5 linked regions of the Xenopus tropicalis genome follow. Each later gene encodes a partner of the first gene's protein in a complex. Links are inferred from orthologs where the notes say so. Each region holds a gene or a part of one and is shown on either strand. Other genes may lie near its edges. The genes, in order: rbm15b, virma, cbll1, zc3h13 and mettl14.

Region 1 (4,951 bases):
TGCTATTCATACCTACTCCTCCATTGGCACCTGTGCTGCAAAGCCCCTGTTGTTGCGGTGACAGCATCTGCCCAACCTTATATACCAGTGCCCCAGTGCTATGATGGTCATTCTCAGACCTGTTTTCTAATCTTTGTTATTATAGTTTAATTTTCCAAAGTGCCATATATTATAGTTTTACTTCCTGGCAAGGTTGACTTGGGATTTACCTCACTGGTAGAAAGAGAAACTGTGCACTTTGCTCATGCTTTTAGGAGGGTCTTTGATGGTCTCCCATAAGCCTTCATGAGAATAGTTTTGTGCTTAAGCTTTTCCTCGAGAGCTCATTGTCATTTGGGGTTGTTCCACTCTAGTTTCTTCTGATCACAAGACTCTTTAATTTCTGATTCGTCCTCCTTGTTTGGTGACCTACCATAAATGGACATTTCCCTTTTTATTACTGTCTTTAAAGCCAGACTCTGCCCAGTAATCCAGAACTTTACTGTATGGTCTGCAGCAGGTTTGTGCTAATTTGGAACAATATGGGCTTATAGACCAATGTTGCCTCTATGTAAAGGTAAAATAACTCTTCTGTTTGTAGTAGACAGTTTTTCCCTTGAAGAAACTCTTCTTCTTCTCCAAACTGGCTAAGGTCCTCATCAAAATATCTAGGGCAGCCACATGACTTGTTCAGAGGGTTCAGATTTGGTTTGGCCAAACAATTGGCAGTTGACAGTTCTGTCTATCCACTGCTACTGTAAAATCTGCCTTGTTCTACAACCATTATCCGCCTGCTGACCTATCCCTCGCCTACACAATCCAGTTCACTGCTCAGAACCTGCTCTGTTGGTCTTCTATGCAATCCAGCCACTTTTGGGAGGCTCCCCTTTCAATAAGCCTTCATTTTTACTTTTTTATAGTTTTTGAATTGCCTTCTTCTTCTGAATATTTACAGCTTTCAAATGGAGGTCACTGGCCCCATCTATAAAACAAATGCTCCGTAAATCCACAAATGTATTATTATTGCTACTTTTTATTATCAATCTTTCTATTCAGGCCCTTTGCCTATTTGTTTTCGTCTCTCATTCAAATCAATGCATGGTTGCTAGGGAAATTTGGGCCCTGGCAACCAGATTGCTCAAATTGCAAACTGGAAAGCTGCTAAATGAGAAGCTAAATGATTTAAAAACCACAAATAATAAAAAATGAAGGCCAATTGCAAATTGTCTCAGAATATCACTCTCTACACCATACTAAAAGTTATTTCAAAGTAAACTATCCCTTTAGGCTGATGCCACACGTGGCGTAGGGCTGACTTTTTTGGCAAGAGGAAAAACGCTTGCCGAAAATTCAGCCCTACACCTGCTACTTGTGCCTGCACCCGAATGAATGGAATACGCTCGGGTGCAGGCACATGTAGCCGATATACGCATGAAAACGCGAGAGAATGCAAAGTCTCACGTTTTCATTGGCTACATGTGCCTGCCCCCGAGCGTATTCCATTCATTCGGGTGCAGGCACAAGTAGCAGGCGTAGGGCTGAATTTTCGGCAAGCGGAAAAAATCAGCCCTACGCCACGTGTGGCATCAGCCTTAACGTGTGATGAATTATAACAAGGGCTTTTAGGAAGAATCCCTGCAGCCCAGAGACAAAACTTCAAAGTGAAAAGATGCACAACTACCCTACCATTCCTTATTGGTTATTATCTCTTCATGCTCCCACTACAAGCAGGTATGTACCCCTCCTGCCTACACAAAGCCATGTTGTACCTGCCCAGCACCCAACCTCCCATGTTACACCTACAGCCCCAGCATGATGGGGAATGATCACACAGCAGGGTGTTTCTTATTGGATAAAGTTTTATTGTTTATGTATTTGTTTATACCTTTCAATATTCTTCTTTCATTTTGACTTCCAAACGCCCCTGGTTGCAAGGCCAAGTAACCCATAGCAACCAGATTGTCTTAGCACTTCCTGTCAACAACGTAATAATTCTTAATTTTAAGTTTCCTCACCGTTTACTCAGCTAGCAGGTTACAGAGCCATTATTACACATTATAGTATCACCCTATTTACCCCTGACTATCCCAGTCAAGACGTTGGAGAGACTCTTCTGACGGCGGCCATGGCCTTTCTGCCCCCACTTGCCCCCCACTTGCCCTTGCTGCAGGGAACCTTTGTGATGCATTTAGAAGTGACAGTCTCTGTTAGTCAGAAGTGACAGGCGCTTTGGGGGCCCGCCGGCGGCCCATGTGACCCTCCGCGCCACACCCTTGCTTGCGTCACCGCTCCCGGCGCCCCCTGATGACATCACTCTCCCTCCCCACTCATTGTGGAAGATGGCGGCTGCACAGTAAGCGCGCCTCCCCCGCGTGTGGTGACGGAGCGGCGAGCAGCCAGCAGCGGGACGTGAGCATGAAGCGACAGAGCGAACGCGGGGAGCAGAGCCCCGGCCGCGCCAAGAGAGCCAGAGAGAGGCGGGAGGAGGCCGGAGGGGCTCACCATAAAAGTTCGGGAAGGCGGGAGAGGCCTAACCAGGCCGGGGCCTCCTCCTCTTCGTCTTCTTCCTCCTCCCGCCGGCCCAGAGATCCGCCGCCCCGGCCCCTTCTACTGACCGCTCCGGCCGAGGCCCCGGGCCTGGAGTACAAGACGCTGCTGATCAGTAACCTGGGCTCGGCGCTGCCCGACCCGCTGCTGGAGGATTGGCTCTTCCGGCACTTCCAGCGCTTCGGAGACATCAGTGTGAAGCTGTCACACACCCCGGAGCTCGGCCGGGTCGCCTACATCAACTTCCGCAGGCCGGCAGAGGCTCGCCAGGCCCGACACGCCAAGGTACGGCCGGTGCTGTACGATCGGCAGCTGCGTGTGGAGCCGGTATTCACTCAGCAACCGACCCGCCGGCCTGAGCCTTCCCCCCTCTCCCTCACCTCTCTGCCCAGCTACCCCCGATCCACTTCCCCCAGGCACCTGCTCCTGCCCTCCTCTCTCACCTCTACAGCGGCCTCTGGGGATGGCTACTACCCACTCTATGAGGAGAGAGTCCGGGGGGCCACCTACGGTATGAGCAGCACCAGTACGGCCGACGATGAGCAGCTGGCCCCAGAGGATGACCACCGAGCCACCCGCAATCTCTTCATTGGCAACTTAGACCACATGGTGTCGGAGGTGGATTTACGGAGGGCATTCGATAAATACGGCCCCATAGAGGAAGTGGTGATCAAGCGCCCGGGGAGGGGCCAAGGAGCGGCGTACGCCTTCCTCAGGTTCCAAAACCTGGACATGGCCCATCGGGCAAAGCTTGCAATGAGCGGGCGCTTGTTGGGGCGCAATGCAATGAAAATTGGCTATGGGAAACCCAACCCGAGCACACGACTATGGGTGGGGGGGCTGGGCCCCAACACCTCTCTCGCAGCGCTAGCTCGGGAGTTTGACCGCTTTGGGAGTATCCGTACAGTGGATTATGTCAAAGGAGACAGTTTTGCATACATCCAGTATGAAAGCTTAGATGCCGCCCAGGCGGCTTGTACGCAGATGAGGGGCTTTGCACTGGGAGACCGTAGGCTTCGGGTAGACTTTGCCACTGTGTCGCCGGACGAGGCTGCTGCAGCTGCATCTCGCTATGCTCCTCTTCAGACAACTCCATACCCTCTGCCTCTGCCCTATGAGTTGTTGCAACCTGAAGCTTATAGCAGGCATCGTACTGCTCTGGACCCAGATCTCAGAGTGAGAGATAGGACCCCTCCGCATCTTCTATACTCCGATCGCGAGAGACCGTTTGTGGAAGCCGGCTGGGTAAATTCTGAGCGGCGCAGCTCAGGCCAAGGTGCACGGAGCAGAAGTGGGGACCGTGGGGGTGGAGGTGGTGGGGGCAGCAGTTCAAAAACACGGGAGGAAAGAAGGCGACGACGCAGCTTGTCTAGCGACAGAGTTCGGAGTAGAGCCGAGAGGAGCCCAGATCGTCAAAGGAGGGAGCCTCCGGAAAGAGACCCTAGTACTCCTCCATCCCCGCAACACAATCACAGACCTTCATCCCAGGACAAGCCCCGGCCCCCAACCCCTGACCCGCCCCAGCCCCGCAGGAATCACCATCCTAGGCCTCCTGAGCCACCTGCTGAGCGGCAATCCCCTGGAGTGGAGAAGGGACGGACGCTGCCACCTGTGTGGTGTGGGCATTTGGTACTTAAAAACAGCTGTTTTCCAACCTACCTTCATTTCTTAGAGGGTGACCGTGATGTGCCAGGTGCCCTACTCAAGGACCGTTCTTCTACAAGTGGAGGCAGCCTGGCACAACTTAAGATTGCCCAGCGACTCCGGCTTGACCAGCCTAAGCTTGAGGAGGTCACCCGTAAAGTGAGACAGGGCACTGCCGGAGGCTATGCTGTACTTCTTGCCACACAAGCCCCACAAAATGAGGGGGCAATACCTGGGGAACCTGGCTTACAGCGCCGCCTTCTCAGGAACCTGGTCTCCTACCTAAAACAGAAACAGGCGGCTGGAGTTATCAGCCTACCAGTGGGAGGGAGCAACAAGGGCAGGGACCCCAGCGGCATGTTGTATGCATTCCCTCCATGTGACTTCCACCAGCTGTACCAGCAAAGTGCTCAGCGCCTTGTGGGCAAGCTAGAAGAGAACATGATTATTGTGTTGGTGAAAGACAGCGCCTAATCCAGAAGTCACTGTGCCCAATGGTGCCCTGTTAGACTGTCCTGTGCCTACACTGTCCTCTCTCTGTTATGGATTTCTGAATTGATGGGGGCGGGCAACCAAAAATATGGGGGAGTTCAAGTTAGGACTGAACTGAGTGGAATAAATCATGTATCACTTTAGTTGTGTAAAAGGTTCTGCAACCTAATTTACAAAGTGTTTTCTAACCCTGTTAGCTGTCGGTGTTCCAATGCACGGCAATGGCTATTGTCACAGGTATATAAGGCAGTCAGAAGTGAGGAATCATGGGAAGGTACCACCACCCCGC
Region 2 (4,209 bases), on another chromosome or scaffold:
CAACACCTAAAATATGGCTGAACACACTACAGCTCATAGCAAACACACCACAGAAACATGATTTTTTTACCAGTTAACAGAATAAACAAGCAAATTTTAAACACCCCTCATCAATGTGGGAGGTAAGGGCACCTCTGTCCTTCAGTGGAGTGTTTGTCCTATAGGAGGAGACCAGATGGATATATTCTCAGTTCCTGATTGGCAGGCAGCACAGTCTGGAATTAGCAGAGTATTCTTGCAGGGTCTAGCTAGTGTAGAAACTATTCATGCTTTTCTTGTATGTATTCCAAAAATAATTCTTCCAGAAAAAAAATAAAAAAAAAAATAAAAAAAATAATGGTATATTTAAATTAAAATCCATAGCTATAGTAAATTTTCAACACAGGCCTATTTATTTTTTTGTTTTTTTTGTTTAATGTTGCCTCTTTTAAAAGTAACTAAATCTTAAAGTAGATGATAGATGAAGTTAGAAGTTGCTGGTCTCCTTGCCTCTCCTCATTTATAGAAAAAAGGCAGGTTCGCTTTTAAAATGTTGAATACAAAATAAGTTAATTAGCATGCTTTGACTCAGGGTTGGGCAAATCCATAGCCCTCCAGATCTTTTAAACTGCCTGTTTCCTGCTGGCTGAGAAAGTGCTGGGAACTGTAGTTTAACTGAATGGTCGCTAGTTTCTTCTCCCTGGTGTTAACCCTTTGTATTTGTAAGATATAGCCCTATCACTTGTTCTTTTCCATATGAGATTTAGTTCCCCAAATCTGCGGCAAACAGTGGTAAGATGAAATTGTGTGTACAAACTTATGCCGAGGTCCCACCAGGAGATTTGTTGTCGGGCTTTTTTTCGTAGCCACGACTTATCTCTAAAAGAGTAACTGTGACAAAATAAGGCTTATTAATTAAAGTAGGCACAAGTACTAGATGCAATAAAGGGCTCAAATTGTGCTATTGCATTGCTGTATAGCTACTGTGCCTATCTGCCCTCCCCTAAGTGAGCAAGGTGTAGTCTAGGTGTCCTTTTGCATCACATATCAGAGTATTTCTACGCATTTTCACCCATAGCATAGGGAGTAAGCATTTGCAACGGATTGCAGCAGGTGCAAATTCACCAGAATACGGACCATTGGGATCATTGCAAATATTTCCCAATAAGTCTCCTGGTGTGACGGTGGCTTTACATGCATTTTTCAGATATTTGTAGGAAAAGTAACACTGCTATCAGCCACTCCAGTAAAATATATATTATTTAATAAGAAGCTGCCTGTCCAATCCACTTTGAATATTGGGCTAAAACTATAGATCTTGTTCTATAGTATTTAAACTAAATACCACCGTACTGCTCCTTTTTATTAGATGTGTGCAAGTCGCTACACATTGGGCCTTCTGCTAATGAGTGGGTTGCATTTGGTCTGCTTCTTTCAGTTGAAGAAGACAAAGATGATCAATACAATGGTAGCCCCCCAAGGCCGCAGCCGAGAGGGCCCAGAACTCCCCCTGGCCCTCCGCCACCAGACGATGATGACGAGGATGAGCCTATGCCAGCCTCGGGTAAATGTACAGTTTGGTGATTGATGAAACCTTTGTTTACCTCATCTGCTGTAAATCCGCAGGCTTTATCTAATGCTGTGTGGTCTGTTATGACAAGAAGTCGTCCTCTTCCCCAGCATGCTTCCTGTGTATTGCTAAATGCTCTGTAGTCTGTTCTGCATATCTGCTTGTTGCTCTGCTGCTGTGGTCAGTATCACACTTTCCCAGGACACGCAGAGCTCTGGACTCGACACAAGACCCAGGACTCTGGTGCTTGTGTCTCTGAGCTGTGCTTTCCTTCTGTGTCTCTGTGTGAATAATCCAGCTTTCCTGTTTTATGGCAGTTTTATTGTAACTTCTGCATTTTTAAAGTTGAATAAGACTGTTTGTTTTTGCTTTCTAACTGCATGAGTCCTTTATAAACCATCAGGGTACTTTAACATTCTCATATTTTTTTTTTTTTTTTTTAATTTGTCACAGTGAATGCAGTACTGGATGCAATTTACACTATTTTGTTTCATTGTTTTATATATTTGGCTGTGTTGCTTGTCCACAGCATATTTGGTCAGGAGCGTTCAGCAAGTCTAGTCTGCTTTTTGCCTGATTTTTGGTGCTTAGGCTCAGACTGGGCTCTGTGTATATCCCAAGCATTTTTCCTTTATAGTAGGTGCTTGTACCTTATGAGCTGGATGAGTGTTCTATGCATGTACTAATATTTTGCTAAAGTAACACATTCTGATGGTACACTTGACCTTTACTCTTTGTAATTGTGACTATTCCTTAATTGTGGAACAATTTCCCAACTCTGCCTGTTTGATGATATATGTCCTCTTTTATCTATCTGTTAAGGTCATTAAAGGGAACCTATTCCTGTTTATAAATGGGGATTCTATTCTACCTATTATGGTTAAGAATTAAGACCTAGGATATTTTGTAATACAGGGCATTCCTCCTGTGTGACTGCATTTTTAAAGGGGTAATTCACCTTTGTTAACTTTTAGTATGTTAAAGCATGGCCAATTCTTAGCAACTTTTCAGTTGGTTTTCTTTATTTTGTATAGTTTAGTAATTGTTTGCTGCTGCCTATTGACTTTTTCCATCTTTCAAATAGGGGTCACTAACCCTTGTAGCCAAAAAACAATTGTTCTGTGAGGCTACAATTATATTGTTATTTTTACTTCTCTTTCTATTCAGGCCTCTCCTATTCATATTAGTCTCTTTCAATCCAGGGCCTGGTTTCTAGAGTAATAGAAACCATAGCAGCCATATAGGTGCTGAACTTCCAAACTGAAGTGTTGCTGCAGTCATTACATCAGTGATCCCCAGCCAGTGGCTTGTGAGCAACATTTTGCTCACCATCCCCTTTTAGTTGCATCTAGTGGCCTCAAAGTAGTTGCCCATTTTCACATTTCTGGCTTGAAGGCAAGTTTTGGAGATACAGACACAGCAGAGCCTCCTGCAGGCTAGCAGTCCACATGGAGCTGCCAAATAGCCAATCAAGGCCCCGACTTGGCACCCCTGCTTGTGTGGCTCACCAACACTTTCATTACATCTGAGTGTGGCTTACAAGTGAAAAAGGTTGGGGCTACCTGCTCTACAGAATAACTAATAGTTAATTTTAAGGTGAATAACCCCTTTAAACTATAAACAATAGAACAGCCGTTTATCTGCTACTGTTGCATCTCTATTGCAGTCTTTGGAAAATACCTAAGAATATAGGGGAATGCTGCTGCTACCCTTGTATAATGATTATACAGTGCTCTTTCTTTATACTAGCACCCTTTTTATAGCACATAATTAGTTCAAGTAAGATTTTATTAACAAATGTGCATATCATTATAATGAAATATCACTGTTAAAATGCAATTGGTAGGCAAAGTTTAAAACGGGCAGTATATTCAGGAAGCATTGTATTCAGAGAAAACTCTCTTGCTGTCTGTTAGTGAAAGTTAAACCATAACCCTATCATTACTTGGGGGTAGTTCCCATTAAGTATGTCTTGAATTGCATCACCCTTCATCATAGTCAGAAGATGTGTTCTCTATCTCCAAACCCCCTATAAATCACATGTACATAACTTGAAAGCTGCTTGTTTTTCTGACAGGCCCTTTGATTTGCCTTGTTCCTTTTCTGTGTCAGGTGGAGAGATAGAAGATGATGGATTACATAGAGAAGGATATTTTGAACCCATATCCCCTGATCGAGTTTCTGTCCACCCTGATGGCAACTATTCAGATGAAGACGATGGGGAAGATGATCCCCAGGATGAGGGAGATGAAGACGATGAGGATGAAGATGATGATGACGATATCAATGCTGAAGATGAGGAGGATGAGGAAGATGATCAGACTGGTGACAGCATAGCTGACGAAGAGGATGAAGATGATGAGGGTGATGACGAGGATTTAGAAGGTGTGTTTGAATTAGATTTTCCTGCTTATATAGTTGTTAATGTAACCATGGAAAACCCACTGTGTAATTTGCTGTACTGTAAAGAAAAAAGATTAACAAAATACCTTTATTCCATTTGGCAGATGATGGCTACGAACAAATTTCAAGTGATGAAGATGGGATTGCTGATTTTGAGCGGGAGGCATTTAAATACATAGACTATACTCCTGAGGATTTGGCATCTGTACCCACCATGGCCTATGACCCATATGACAGGGACTTGGGCCCTCTTCTAT
Region 3 (4,209 bases), on another chromosome or scaffold:
TAAGTGCCATTATCCGCTATGAAGTTTGCTTGTAAATCAGACTATAAAGATTTTTTTATTATTAATAAAACAGAACATTTAATCTTACAAACCAAGTTTTTTACTGGCTGTAAAAATTCTACAATGTTATACAGCGGTTACTTGTTATATCTTACAACTCAAGGAAAACAACTACTACTGTACACATATACTTACATTTATATTACATTGGGTGTAACATATCATTAAAATGAGACACTTGCTAGGAAATGCAGAAGTTATAATCTTAAGATGGCGGTTTGTCAAAATCTAAAAAAACACAAATCTGACTGTATGATTAAAGTCAAAATTTTCAGAACATGTAGTTCAACTGAAATTGTGTTTTTTGCTTACAACACCCCCAAAAAGGGAAAGCCACAACTGAAGAGACTGTATACACATTACCATAAACCTGCAGCTGAAGCAAAAGATTACATCTAGCAAGTTCAGCATAAGTATTTCATTGATAATACGGCCTGTATCTGGCCTGATCTGGATGATGAGGTCCTGGAATAGGGGCTTGAGAAGGAGGCCCTTGCATTCGGGGGGGTGGCGGTGGTCCTCTTGGAGCAGGCCACATCCCAGGGCTCATTCCCCCAGGTTGTGTGAAGGGAGGGCTTAGAGTTCCTTGATCTTCATTGAACTGAGGCAAAGAACTAGGATTATAATGATGAGGAGGAGGAGCATTAACTGGTGGACCACCATGTTGTGGTGGCGGAGGTCCTGGAGGAGGATGATTCATGTATGGTGGGATTTGAGCAATTATATGTCCCGGTGGGGGTGTTATTGGTGGTGGAGCAGTTGTCATTGGTGGTGGAGGACCTTGGCTGTAAACCATGTGAGGTGTCCCAGCTGCCTGAGGAGGGTGTTGCATTGGATGACTGATTGGAGGGGGTGGTGGAGGGGGTGGAGCATAGTGCTGCTGTGGAGGCATTATATGGTGAGGATGAGCCACCACTGGTTGGCCTGGATACTCTGGATGATGTAGAGTAGGACCAGGTGCCTGAGGAGTTTCTCTGGCACCAGAATTGGAATCATCCTGAATAGGCACTGTGATTAAGTTGCTATGCTGTCTAGTAGATATCCTGAAAGCATCCTGATTAACAGAGCGGGGTGGAGGCGGGGCTAAGGAAATTTCTGCTGGAGAGGGCCGAATATCATCATGTTGTTGACTGAAATGCTCATGAGGAACATGTTGCATTGGGGGAGGTGGCATCAATATATGTTGTTTTGGAGGCATATGACTTAGATGATGCTTATCTGGGGGCATTATAAAGCGATCTGGGATTTCTGCTGGGGGTGGGGCCAAAGGAGGATGGATTGGCTCAGGCTGAGGTCGGGCAGTTGGCTTGGTAGCTCTCATGTGACGGTGGTTAATGTGTGCCTGCAGATCTCTTTGAGATAAATATGTTCTCTTGCAACCTTGCACAATGCTACACATGAAGAGAGAGCCACGTGCACACTGCTCAATGCGTTGAACGGGATCATTGCAACTGAAAAGGAAAAAAAAAAAAACAGAAGTTTCTTAATGCTGCTTGGAAACATACTAATATTCACATCGATGTCCTATTTGAGACATTTTCTTAATGAATGAAAATCTTCCTCAAATTAATTTAACGTAAGATGAAAAAAATATTCCAACCTAGTATGAAAATTTCCTAGTTTTAAAAGTAAAGAGGCATATTTACTACAATTAAAATTGGGGATTTCTAAATGAAACCCCAGCAAATTAAACTTTATCAGAGTTATTTAAATTATTTGAAAGACAAAGCCACCAAAACCTTCAAATTATCGCCAGTTGGGGCTTATAATAAATTACAATTGCATATGCAATGTCATAATTTACCAGAACTTTAAATAATGCATATATAATTGCATATGCTGCCTCAAAAAGATAGGCATTGACGCAATACTCTAAAAACAGTCATGCAGTTACATCACATCATAATTTAATGGCTGCAAGAGTTTTAACGGGCAAAACCATCTAGAAACATTTAAGACTACAATATTGATAGAAGCTAAATGATTTGCCTTTAGAAACCTACCAAATGATGGAACATTAAAATAACTTAGGTTGCCAAGTTCTTAAGTAGCCCCCAGCAGTTCCAAAAAAAAAAAAAAACCCATCTTCAAAAAACATACCAGCCTGGAGCACAGTCCTCCAAGAATTGGAGGATCTACGAGATTTAAAGAAAATTGCAACTCGGCACTTGGTAAGTAGTGCCCAAGGCTGTGCTTTTTTTTTTTTGAAGAAGAAGAAGTGCCAGTCAGGGTAGCAGGTAAGCAACTGGAATCACTATGGGTGATGATGCAAACTGTATAAAGTTAATGGGCAGGGTCTCTTGCTCCTATTTACCAACATCTTGTGTCCGTTGCCAGTACTCCTTTGAATCTGTTGGAACTATATGCTTGAGCAGTAAAGTAAAAATCTTTAACTCAACTACTCATACTAAAAGGTCCAGCATAGCCAAAGGCATCGTTAGCACGAGACTTAGGCATTTTACATTTTAGGCATACCTGTGCAAGTGTGAAAGATGGGCAATCATATCCATAAGTGCTCAAGCTAGCAGAAGAAAGTTGATATCTGATGCACCACATTTCCAGCATGCATGCTGTATCTGCAGAATAACTATTTTTCAAACCACACTGTTGCCTTACGGTATCTTAGTGCTTATCAGATGTAGGAAATAGTCTCAGTCTGCATCAAGTTGAATCAGACCTAGTCATTTACATAGCATGATAAACAGCTACACTAAATCACAAAAGTGTATCCCTGTGGGTGAATAAACTGTTTAGGTTGCTAAGCCATAATCTGTCTCTGTTTAGCTACAGAAAAAAAGTAGTTAATTGAATGGATACAGAAACATACATTGTTAAACATCAGGTAAATTCTGAGGAAAACTCAAGTTTTTTAAATTCCTATTCCAGCTTTGATTTTATCAGTAAAGCCGTTCCAGATCAGTAAAAAAAACTAATTGCAAAATTTACCTAATGTTGGGCTGCATGTTTTATATCTTTTAAGTGTCAACATGCGGAAGGATGTGCATCAACTACGCTAATACTGATCGATATAAGAAATAAAGACAGCCCTTTTCATTAAGAGCTCACAATTGCAAAGATTTGAGCTTGCATCTATTTCAGCATCACTTTCTTTTTCTCATTTAACAGAATACAACCTTGAACCTTTAGTTATTGCCAAAGCACCAAACCTATCCCAACAATTATTAAAAGTAAAATCGCAATAACAAAATGTATGGGATCTCTAATTTGTAAGGTAGAGAAAGCTCCGAACAACAGGTCATGTCTCATACACTCCATGTATAGCAAATAGTTACTTTTTTTTCCCTTTCTTTTTGCAATAAAAATGTCTTGTTCTTGATTACATCTATGATAACATTAATCCATATTAGTGGCAAAACAACCTTATTGGCTTTAATATTAAAGTTATTCTTTACGTATGGTGATCCAGTTCACAGAGCCAGAAAACCCCAGCTTTTGAGCATTCTAGAAAATAGGTACCATACTTCTTGCCCAACTAAACTATTGCAATATATCAGTTTCAGTGAACTCATATAAAGAACCAGTGCTAATCAACAATAAAAAGAGCAATCCAGAACATTGCTATTTTAAAGCTTTCAAAAGTTTTTCAGGATGAAACATGTTTTATGCATAATAAAAAACAAACTCTGCTATATTTTTAAAACAAAAAGATTCCTTGCTCATCAGGAATTAAATGTAATCACGCTCATAAAATTACAACAAAATCATCCCCACATTCTGTGTGGCAAGGCTGTTCTTAAGTAAGTTGAGGTGTTAACATCAAGAAATGTAGCTCATCAGCAAATATGCTGCAATATTTTTTTGGGGAAAAAAACATTCCTAACCATATCTTTGCAGTTACTTAAGAAATTGCTAAACTATTAGAACCTACCTCATACGCTTAAAGGTGTCAGTACTTTCTTCAACAAGTGTTCTTTTGGGAGGGGAAAAAGAGACATTACACCACAAAATAAAAAAAAAACAAAATACACATTCCATTTAGCTCCACCCTGTAAGGTATTTAAAGTGAACCAAAAAAAAATCAAAAAAAAATCACATGACTAGAATAATAAGAACATCCCTCAGCTAAAATAATATTAAAAAATAAAATAGAGAATGTAGCATTCATAAAGGAAACAGTACCCACCCTAA
Region 4 (4,650 bases), on another chromosome or scaffold:
CCCCCCAGTATCCTGGGTGCCCCTGTAGTTAATACGCTCTCAGACAGATACAGGGGTAACTAAGTGTCACTAACTTGCACCAAGGCTAAGATGCACAACCCCCCCCCCCCCTATCCTGGGTGCCCCTGTAGTTAATACGCTCTCAGACAGATACAGGGGTAACTAAGTGTCACTAACTTGCACCAAGGCTAAGATGCACAACCCCCCCCCCCCCCCCCCCCCAGTATCCTGGGTGCCCCTGTAGTTAATACGCTCTCAGACAGATACAGGGGTAACTAAGTGTCACTAACTTGCACCAAGGCTAAGATGCACAACCCCCCCCCCCAGTATCCTGGGTGCCCCTGTAGTTAATACGCTCTCAGACAGATACAGGGGTAACTAAGTGTCACTAACTTGCACCAAGGCTAAGATGCACAACCCCCCCCCCCCCCCTATCCTGGGTGCCCCTGTAGTTAATACGCTCTCAGACAGATACAGGGGTAACTAAGTGTCACTAACTTGCACCAAGGCTAAGATGCACAACCCCCCCCCCCCCCCTATCCTGGGTGCCCCTGTAGTTAATACGCTCTCAGACAGATACAGGGGTAACTAAGTGTCACTAACTTGCACCAAGGCTAAGATGCACAACCCCCCCCCCCCCCCCAGTATCCTGGGTGCCCCTGTAGTTAATACGCTCTCAGACAGATACAGGGGTAACTAAGTGTCACTAACTTGCACCAAGGCTAAGATGCACAACCCCCCCCCCCCCTATCCTGGGTGCCCCTGTAGTTAATACGCTCTCAGACAGATACAGGGGTAACTAAGTGTCACTAACTTGCACCAAGGCTAAGATGCACAACCCCCCCCCCCCCCCAGTATCCTGGGTGCCCCTGTAGTTAATACGCTCTCAGACAGATACAGGGGTAACTAAGTGTCACTAACTTGCACCAAGGCTAAGATGCACAACCCCCCCCCCCAGTATCCTGGGTGCCCCTGTAGTTAATACGCTCTCAGACAGATACAGGGGTAACTAAGTGTCACTAACTTGCACCAAGGCTAAGATGCACAACCCCCCCCCCCCCCTATCCTGGGTGCCCCTGTAGTTAATACGCTCTCAGACAGATACAGGGGTAACTAAGTGTCACTAACTTGCACCAAGGCTAAGATGCACAACCCCCCCCCCCCCCTATCCTGGGTGCCCCTGTAGTTAATACGCTCTCAGACAGATACAGGGGTAACTAAGTGTCACTAACTTGCACCAAGGCTAAGATGCACAACCCCCCCCCCCCCCCCCAGTATCCTGGGTGCCCCTGTAGTTAATACGCTCTCAGACAGATACAGGGGTAACTAAGTGTCACTAACTTGCACCAAGGCTAAGATGCACAACCCCCCCCCCCCCCCTATCCTGGGTGCCCCTGTAGTTAATACGCTCTCAGACAGATACAGGGGTAACTAAGTGTCACTAACTTGCACCAAGGCAAAGATGCACAACCCCCCCCCCCCAGTATCCTGGGTGCCCCTGTAGTTAATACGCTCTCAGACAGATACAGGGGTAACTAAGTGTCACTAACTTGCACCAAGGCTAAGATGCACAACCCCCCCCCCCCCAGTATCCTGGGTGCCCCTGTAGTTAATACGCTCTCAGACAGATACAGGGGTAACTAAGTGTCACTAACTTGCACCAAGGCTAAGATGCACAACCCCCCCCCCCCCCCCCCCCCCCAGTATCCTGGGTGCCCCTGTAGTTAATACGCTCTCAGACAGATACAGGGGTAACTAAGTGTCACTAACTTGCACCAAGGCTAAGATGCACAACCCCCCCCCCCCCCTATCCTGGGTGCCCCTGTAGTTAATACGCTCTCAGACAGATACAGGGGTAACTAAGTGTCACTAACTTGCACCAAGGCTAAGATGCACAACCCCCCCCCCCCCCCCCCCCCCCAGTATCCTGGGTGCCCCTGTAGTTAATACGCTCTCAGACAGATACAGGGGTAACTAAGTGTCACTAACTTGCACCAAGGCTAAGATGCACAACCCCCCCCCCAGTATCCTGGGTGCCCCTGTAGTTAATACGCTCTCAGACAGATACAGGGGTAACTAAGTGTCACTAACTTGCACCAAGGCTAAGATGCACAACCCCCCCCCCCCCCCCCCCCCAGTATCCTGGGTGCCCCTGTAGTTAATACGCTCTCAGACAGATACAGGGGTAACTAAGTGTCACTAACTTGCACCAAGGCTAAGATGCACAACCCCCCCCCCCAGTATCCTGGGTGCCCCTGTAGTTAATACGCTCTCAGACAGATACAGGGGTAACTAAGTGTCACTAACTTGCACCAAGGCTAAGATGCACAACCCCCCCCCCCCTATCCTGGGTGCCCCTGTAGTTAATACGCTCTCAGACAGATACAGGGGTAACTAAGTGTCACTAACTTGCACCAAGGCAAAGATGCACAACCCCCCCCCCCCCCCCAGTATCCTGGGTGCCCCTGTAGTTAATACGCTCTCAGACAGATACAGGGGTAACAACAGTAGAACAGTATTGGGCGCTGCTCTCACCTTGTTGCCGTCTGAAGCGGCGGCGAACGCCGCTGGCTGAGGAATCCCGGGCCGTGACCGCTGTGGGTTTGGCGGCAGCTACTGGGAGCTCAGCGGCGTCTCCCAGTGCCGCGGAGTGACTGAGCGCCCGAGCACGGCTGGGTTCGCCGCCCCTCTCTGCCTTTCCGCGTAACAGCCGTAGCGGCTCCTCCTGACCCCTCTTTTTCTTCCTTCTCCTCTTTTTCTTCTTCTTCCACCACTGCGGCGGCAACCACTTCAGCTGCCGCAGCTGATCCCGGTTTCCCGGAGCGATCGTGACGCAGCGACGGCAACAAAACAGCAGGCGGGCTCGGCTCAGGCGAGCGCAGGCCGGAGATACAGCAGGACCGCCGCTACGCCTGCCGGGAAGCCCGCAAACTCAATGGAGAGCGCTCATCCAGTCAGAGTAGACACGGCCAATCAACTGCGGGCTATGGAAACGAGACGTCATAAGAAGCGACCGTGTGTCTCAAAGTAAGGTTCCATGCGGTCGCTAACAAAGTGACGTAGCTGTGCGCTGTGGGAAGTAACTAAGATGGGCGTGTTTGACTTAGGAGAACTTAGGCTGTTATAAAGCTAAAAAAAAGATTAGTCCTATGATTTATTATGCACTTTACATTCATTTTCGGTTTTAATGGTTTCCCTGTTTGTACCAGGCTTGGCTCAGCTGCTCTTGTTGAAGACCCAGAGTTTTGACCCTGTATATGCACATTCTGTATTCAGTTAACCATTGGGTTGCACTTTCTTAAGCCAAAACACTATTAACAGTTTAAAGATACATATATCTAGAGCTGTCATCAGGTTTATCAGAAGCCAGTTAAACCACCTTGTCTGTTTTTGGAGTGTTGGAGGAATTTGGAGTACCCGGAGGAAACCCACAAAAGCACAGGGAGAATATACAACAAAAAATGCAATTGTGTTCACAGATGTAACATTATGTAGGGGTTACTTGGGCAAAGGGACTTAAAATGGATGGCAAGTGCAAAGATCCAAGTGTGAAAAAACATTTGATAAATGCATAGTGCCATGAATGTGCTGCAGGAAAACAGTTCCTTCAAGTTTGATGTATGTTAGATATTGCTTGGCTACAGCCACTCACTTGCAAACTCACCGCCTTCTAGTGTATACACAAGCATGTGCTCCAGCGGCCATATCCAGACATTAGCAATCTGATAATAACATGTTGTAGTCCTGGGTATGCAGTCTTAATCAGTTTTCCACATCCAAGCCTCTTCATCCTATTTCTTATCCAGAGCCTCCTCCTGCTCAAACTACATCCTAGATCCACACAACTTACTTGCTTTGACTTCAGCTTGCTCCTTATTTGAGTGCTCCATAAATATATTTGTTTTTCTGTCCACTTTAGCATTTACTGTATCTCTTCTCTAACTTTCAGTACCTCTATACCTTTGGAACCACTGATTACTTTTGTGGGAGCACTGCAGCTATGCACATTTAAGACTAAGGACCCATGGAGAAAGGTGTCTTGTTATAGGCAGAAACGCACTCCGCATACAGATTCTCAGTGTTCCTGCAGGGTCTGAGTCATAGTGCAGTTTTGTATACACATTTTATGTTTGCTTTTTTTGCAGGATGAAACAATCCCCATGTGCACATTGCATTACCAAAGAAAGAATTGAGCAAAAAGAGGCCAAAGGGAGTGTTTCTGTGCGTTATTGAAAAACATGCTCTGCACTTGCACCCAAGACAGGAGAGAACTGAGAATTGGGGTCTAGTAGGAGAGAATGGGGTATTGTTAAAAAGGGAATAACTTAAGTTGAAGGGGTATAAGGCCAAATCATATATACCAGAAAATGAAGGATTCAGAAGGAGAATAGGACAGAAAGGAAAAGCAAAGAAGAGACCAAGAAAGAGTCATTAGAAGATAACAGGAACATTTAGAGAGAGTAGGTGAAGGTCAAATCAAGAAGACAGTGGCAAATATAAAAAAGACTAGAGGTAAGTGTGTGTTTCCTATGTACCTGAATACCTGAGTTAAGGTGGCCACACACATGGCGAATTGCGATCTTTCGTGCGACCATCGCACGAAAGATCGTTCAATCGGCCACTAACATTCAGGGCTGAAACAGCAGATAA
Region 5 (4,209 bases), on another chromosome or scaffold:
GTTGTGGAAAGAACAGCTTGGCCAGCTGTAGAAGGTTACTGTGATCTGTAACTGCAATAGGGAAGGGGTGCTATAGTAAAGCCGTGTGTGCGTGTAAAACATTCTGTTCTTGTCCAAAAATATATTCTAAAAGAAACAGCTCAGTATAAATATGAAACAAGGTCAAATGGATAGACTGCACAAAATAAAAAAAAATATTTCTAATTTACAGAAATGTAATCTATAAAGACTGGAGTGAGTAGATGTCTAACATAATGGCCAAAACACTACTTCCTGCTTTCAGCTCTATAACCTCAGTTAGTCAGCGACTTTATGGGGGACCACATGGGACATACCTGTTCAGTTAGTTTGTGAGCACGGAGGTCAAATTCAAACTAACTGAACAGATATGTCCCATATGCAACCCCCCCCCCCCCCCCAACTTAATAAGTCACTGATTGGTTAGTGACTCCAAAGTGCGAAGGCACATGGGGAGATTAGTCGCCGCGACTTTTAATTAACTCAGCTGCTGCGAGTAATCGCAGCAACTTTCCGCCCATGGAATACAATTGCGACGCCGCAACAAATTGTGCACGCAATTTCGTTGCGCAGATTAGTCGCGTGACTTTTCAAAAAGTTGCACCCACTAATTGCCCCCGTGTGTCTTCGCCCTAATAGCTTAGAGAGCTGTAAAGGAGGAAGTAGGAATCTGGCTATTATGTTAGACATCTGACCACTCCAGCCTTTATAGATTACATTTTTGCCTAACTATATTGAAAACATTTTTTATTTTGCGCAGTCTATCTATTTAACCCAGTTTCATTTCTATACTGAACTGTTCCTTTAAAGTGGTAAAATTTTGAGTATACTGTTTAAAGTGCAAGGTGAGTGAAATTATCTCCACTGCTTATATTGAAAGCATTGCCCACAGACAGCTTTATAGATAAAGTAAAAAAAAAATGCTTTACCTTACATTCCTCAATCACCTCTTCATCTGCTTCCCCTTCTTCAGGCATTTTGCGTTTGGAAACTGTTGCTGATGTGTCATATGAAGCACTTAAACACAAAATAGAATTAAATAAATATAAAATCAGAATTATGGACATCAGCCCTCATTTAGTGTACAAAGTTATGGGGCCATTTATAAAATGAACACAAAGGTTTTGTTTACAATGCTATCGTATGACTTCAGTAGGCACACATGGCTTTCTGTAGTATGATTTCTCCCAGTATCACATGACCTATATACTAAGGAAGAATTCTGAGATAATGATCTTTTTGCCAATTACTTAAGAAAAAAAACAGCTATCAAATGGTATATAGGGCACTTTATCTACTAGCGTCTAATAACTGGCAGAGAAACCCAAAAATGACCCCTGTAGATCCCTACTTTAACCCGACAGATGTTACCATGGTTTTTGGTCCAAAACATGTGTTGAAACATTTTCAGTCTAATAACTGCCTGTATTTGCAGTGTCAGACAATATCCATTAGTGTTAATAGGGTAAAAAGCATGGCTAGTTCACTACTGGCTGAAATACCAGTGAAGAAACCACCTTGTGTGCCAATAGCCTAAAACTCATTGGACAGAAGGGCCTCGTCATTATTTGTGATTCTTCTGTGTTCAGCATCATAAATGCAAAGAAATGTTGCAGATTCCTTTCTATAATAATCAATGAGAATTGTATGCGTATATGAATCTGGCACTTTCGACACAATTACCTTCTTTAAAAAGAGGCTCTCTTCCCTCCTTACTGAATATACAGATAACAATTTGTAACTGTTAAGTGCACTTGCAGAAAGCTAGGGAAGAAGCAGAAAACACATGCAAACAATCATGCATCTAGATTTACCGGCTAGTTTCTCTTGTTTCAGCGATTTCCCTTTGCTCATCCTTGCTGTTAAGCACAGCTCCAATACTGTCAGCACTTTCAGCTCCCAGCTGTAACAGAAAAAATCAGGTTTATTCTTAGTTCAGCCATATTTTTTCTGTAGATTCATTAAAAATATTGCTCAACGATCAATAGTTCCCCAGTCACATATCTAACATTTGGTCCGAGTATATGTAAAGAAATGTTTAACTCCTTCAGTCAGTAAGAAGTTGTGCAGCAAGTAAACCTTATTTGTAAGGGTCCTCTGCTGGTTTCTCTTTAATAGGCACGTGTAGCTATTCCAAATGACACACATAGTAATTTGTTGTTTGCCGGGGATCACTTCTCCCCAAGTGACAAAGTGTCACCAAAAGAATAGGGATCACTGAACCTTAAAAATCTAATTTTTTCTTATTTGAATAAACTCACCAAAAAAATTAAATGTGTACCTATATAAAAAAACAATCATAAATAAACCATGAAAATTTGAAATTAAGAAAATAATTTACATTTTGCTTGCACAATTCCCTTTGACTTCTACATGAACTCGCAAGCTTTACATTGCCCAAAATGTTTGTCTGTGTAAGTAAACTGTTACGTATTGTATTTGTATCCCTGTAAATCATTGCAGGAGCTAACGGTGCTGTATAAATGATAATAACAATATTTCAATAAGGAACCTTAGAAGCTGATGATGGTGTAGCTGTCTCTATTCTTTAACAGAGTTTAACCCTTTCACTGCCAGCCGTTTTGGACCAAAGTGGAACTTCTACTGCCAGACAGTTTTTGAACATTTTGCACTGTTTCACTTTAGGGGCTTTTCCTTGGGGGGACTTTTAGTTTACCCAGGAAAACGATATATTGTTTTTTTCAGGACAACCTAAGCTTTCAAAATATGGTGGAATTTTTGTGTAATTACAATTCTGTAACAAGATATAGGCTTCTAGATATCTAAAAAATGAAAAAAAATTATATTTTCCATAATATAAACACATACATCAGAAACAAAAAATATTTTATGCACAAAAATACAACTGATTTGGAAAGTCCCATGTCTCCTGAACATGCCAATACCAAATATATATAGTTTTATGGAGATTTCTCACTTGTATAGGTCAAAAACTCCCAGCAGTACACTACCAAATTTCCAAAGCACTGCTCCATAAAGCTGCATACTTTAGATTTCAAGGTCACAAATTCCACTAACATAAGGTTTATCCAAGAAAATTATACATTTTTAGAAAGAACAGATTCTGTGGAATCCAGAATAGGCACAACTGTCTGTCTACTCCAAACTATCAAGTCACAATGCTTTCCTAAAGTTATTGGTTTTTATCAAAATTTGTGAAATGTATTAAAAATTGCTTCAAAGCTTCCTGTCTATAGTATCTTATCTCCTACAGGTCATAAAGTAACCAGATAAAACACCCTAAATATGAACGCCAGGGGTCCACTGAACAGTTTGATGCCCAATTTGTATAGGTTTACTTAAGTATGTGGCATGTAGGGGCCCCAATGTGAACATACCCCCATGTGATCTATCATTTTTGTCATTCCAGCTTCTGCAAAATCAACACATTTACATCATATTGTGTGGGATAAAGCTACAAAAAAATACGCTTACCCCAGAAAGCCATATATTTTTGGAAAGTACACATTCCCCCGAATCTAAAATGGGTACCTATGTGTTTCTACTCCAAAGTACCAAGCCGCAAAGCATTTCTAAAGTTAGCAATTTTGATGACAATTCCAAAAATCCCCTCAGAGCTTCCACTTTGCAGCATCTTATCTCCCATATAGCATTAGGTACCAACATAAAACACCCTAAATTTGAACACCAGAGGTCCACTGAACAGTATGATGCCCAATATGTATAGGTTTACCTAAGTATGTGGCATGTAGGGGCCCCAATGTGAACATATACCATATGATCTGCCATTTTTGTCATTCCAGCTTCTGCAAAATCAACACATTTACATCATATTGTGTGGGATAAAGCTACAAAAAAATACGCTTACCCCAGAAAGCCATATATTTTTGGAAAGTACACATTCCCCCGAATCTAAAATGGGTACCTATGTGTTTCTACTCCAAAGTACCAAGCCGCAAAGCATTTCTAAAGTTAGCAATTTTGATGACAATTCCAAAAATCCCCTCAGAGCTTCCACTTTGCAGCATCTTATCTCCCATATAGCATTAGGTACCAACATAAAACACCCTAAATTTGAACACCAGGGGTCCACTGAACAATTTGATGCCCAATATGTATAGGTATACCTAAGTATGTGGCATGTAGGGGCCCCAATGTGAACATATACCATATGATCTGCCATTTTTGTCATTTCAGCTCCTGCAAAAT

What was found.
Region 2: rbm15b (region 1) and virma share a complex: the UniProt entries of both Homo sapiens proteins name them as parts of the WMM complex. The link is inferred for Xenopus tropicalis from reciprocal best matches to the Homo sapiens genes RBM15B and VIRMA.
Region 3: rbm15b (region 1) and cbll1 share a complex: the UniProt entries of both Homo sapiens proteins name them as parts of the WMM complex. The link is inferred for Xenopus tropicalis from reciprocal best matches to the Homo sapiens genes RBM15B and CBLL1.
Region 4: rbm15b (region 1) and zc3h13 share a complex: the UniProt entries of both Homo sapiens proteins name them as parts of the WMM complex. The link is inferred for Xenopus tropicalis from reciprocal best matches to the Homo sapiens genes RBM15B and ZC3H13.
Region 5: rbm15b (region 1) and mettl14 share a complex: the UniProt entries of both Homo sapiens proteins name them as parts of the WMM complex. The link is inferred for Xenopus tropicalis from reciprocal best matches to the Homo sapiens genes RBM15B and METTL14.

The regions. Positions count from the first base shown.
Region 1 is NC_030680.2:127,344,481-127,349,431, reverse strand, and holds the start of rbm15b (putative RNA-binding protein 15B), read left to right. Parts: upstream 1-1,837; 5' UTR 1,838-2,283; coding exon 2,284-4,644; 3' UTR 4,645-4,951. UniProt on the Homo sapiens protein: RNA-binding protein that acts as a key regulator of N6-methyladenosine (m6A) methylation of RNAs, thereby regulating different processes, such as alternative splicing of mRNAs and X chromosome inactivation mediated by Xist RNA.
Region 2 is NC_030682.2:127,966,043-127,970,251, reverse strand, and holds part of virma (protein virilizer homolog), read left to right. Parts: intron 1-1,417; coding exon 1,418-1,543; intron 1,544-3,661; coding exon 3,662-3,934; intron 3,935-4,056; coding exon 4,057-4,209. UniProt on the Homo sapiens protein: Associated component of the WMM complex, a complex that mediates N6-methyladenosine (m6A) methylation of RNAs, a modification that plays a role in the efficiency of mRNA splicing and RNA processing.
Region 3 is NC_030679.2:76,283,939-76,288,147, forward strand, and holds part of cbll1 (E3 ubiquitin-protein ligase Hakai), read right to left. Parts: intron 3,992-4,209; coding exon 3,950-3,991; intron 1,512-3,949; coding exon 479-1,511; 3' UTR 1-478. UniProt on the Homo sapiens protein: E3 ubiquitin-protein ligase that mediates ubiquitination of several tyrosine-phosphorylated Src substrates, including CDH1, CTTN and DOK1. Targets CDH1 for endocytosis and degradation.
Region 4 is NC_030678.2:134,321,722-134,326,371, forward strand, and holds the start of zc3h13 (zinc finger CCCH domain-containing protein 13), read right to left. Parts: upstream 3,080-4,650; 5' UTR 2,536-3,079; intron 1-2,535. UniProt on the Homo sapiens protein: Associated component of the WMM complex, a complex that mediates N6-methyladenosine (m6A) methylation of RNAs, a modification that plays a role in the efficiency of mRNA splicing and RNA processing.
Region 5 is NC_030677.2:70,530,642-70,534,850, reverse strand, and holds part of mettl14 (N6-adenosine-methyltransferase non-catalytic subunit), read right to left. Parts: intron 1,922-4,209; coding exon 1,833-1,921; intron 1,036-1,832; coding exon 948-1,035; intron 1-947. UniProt on the Homo sapiens protein: The METTL3-METTL14 heterodimer forms a N6-methyltransferase complex that methylates adenosine residues at the N(6) position of some mRNAs and regulates the circadian clock, differentiation of embryonic stem cells and cortical neurogenesis.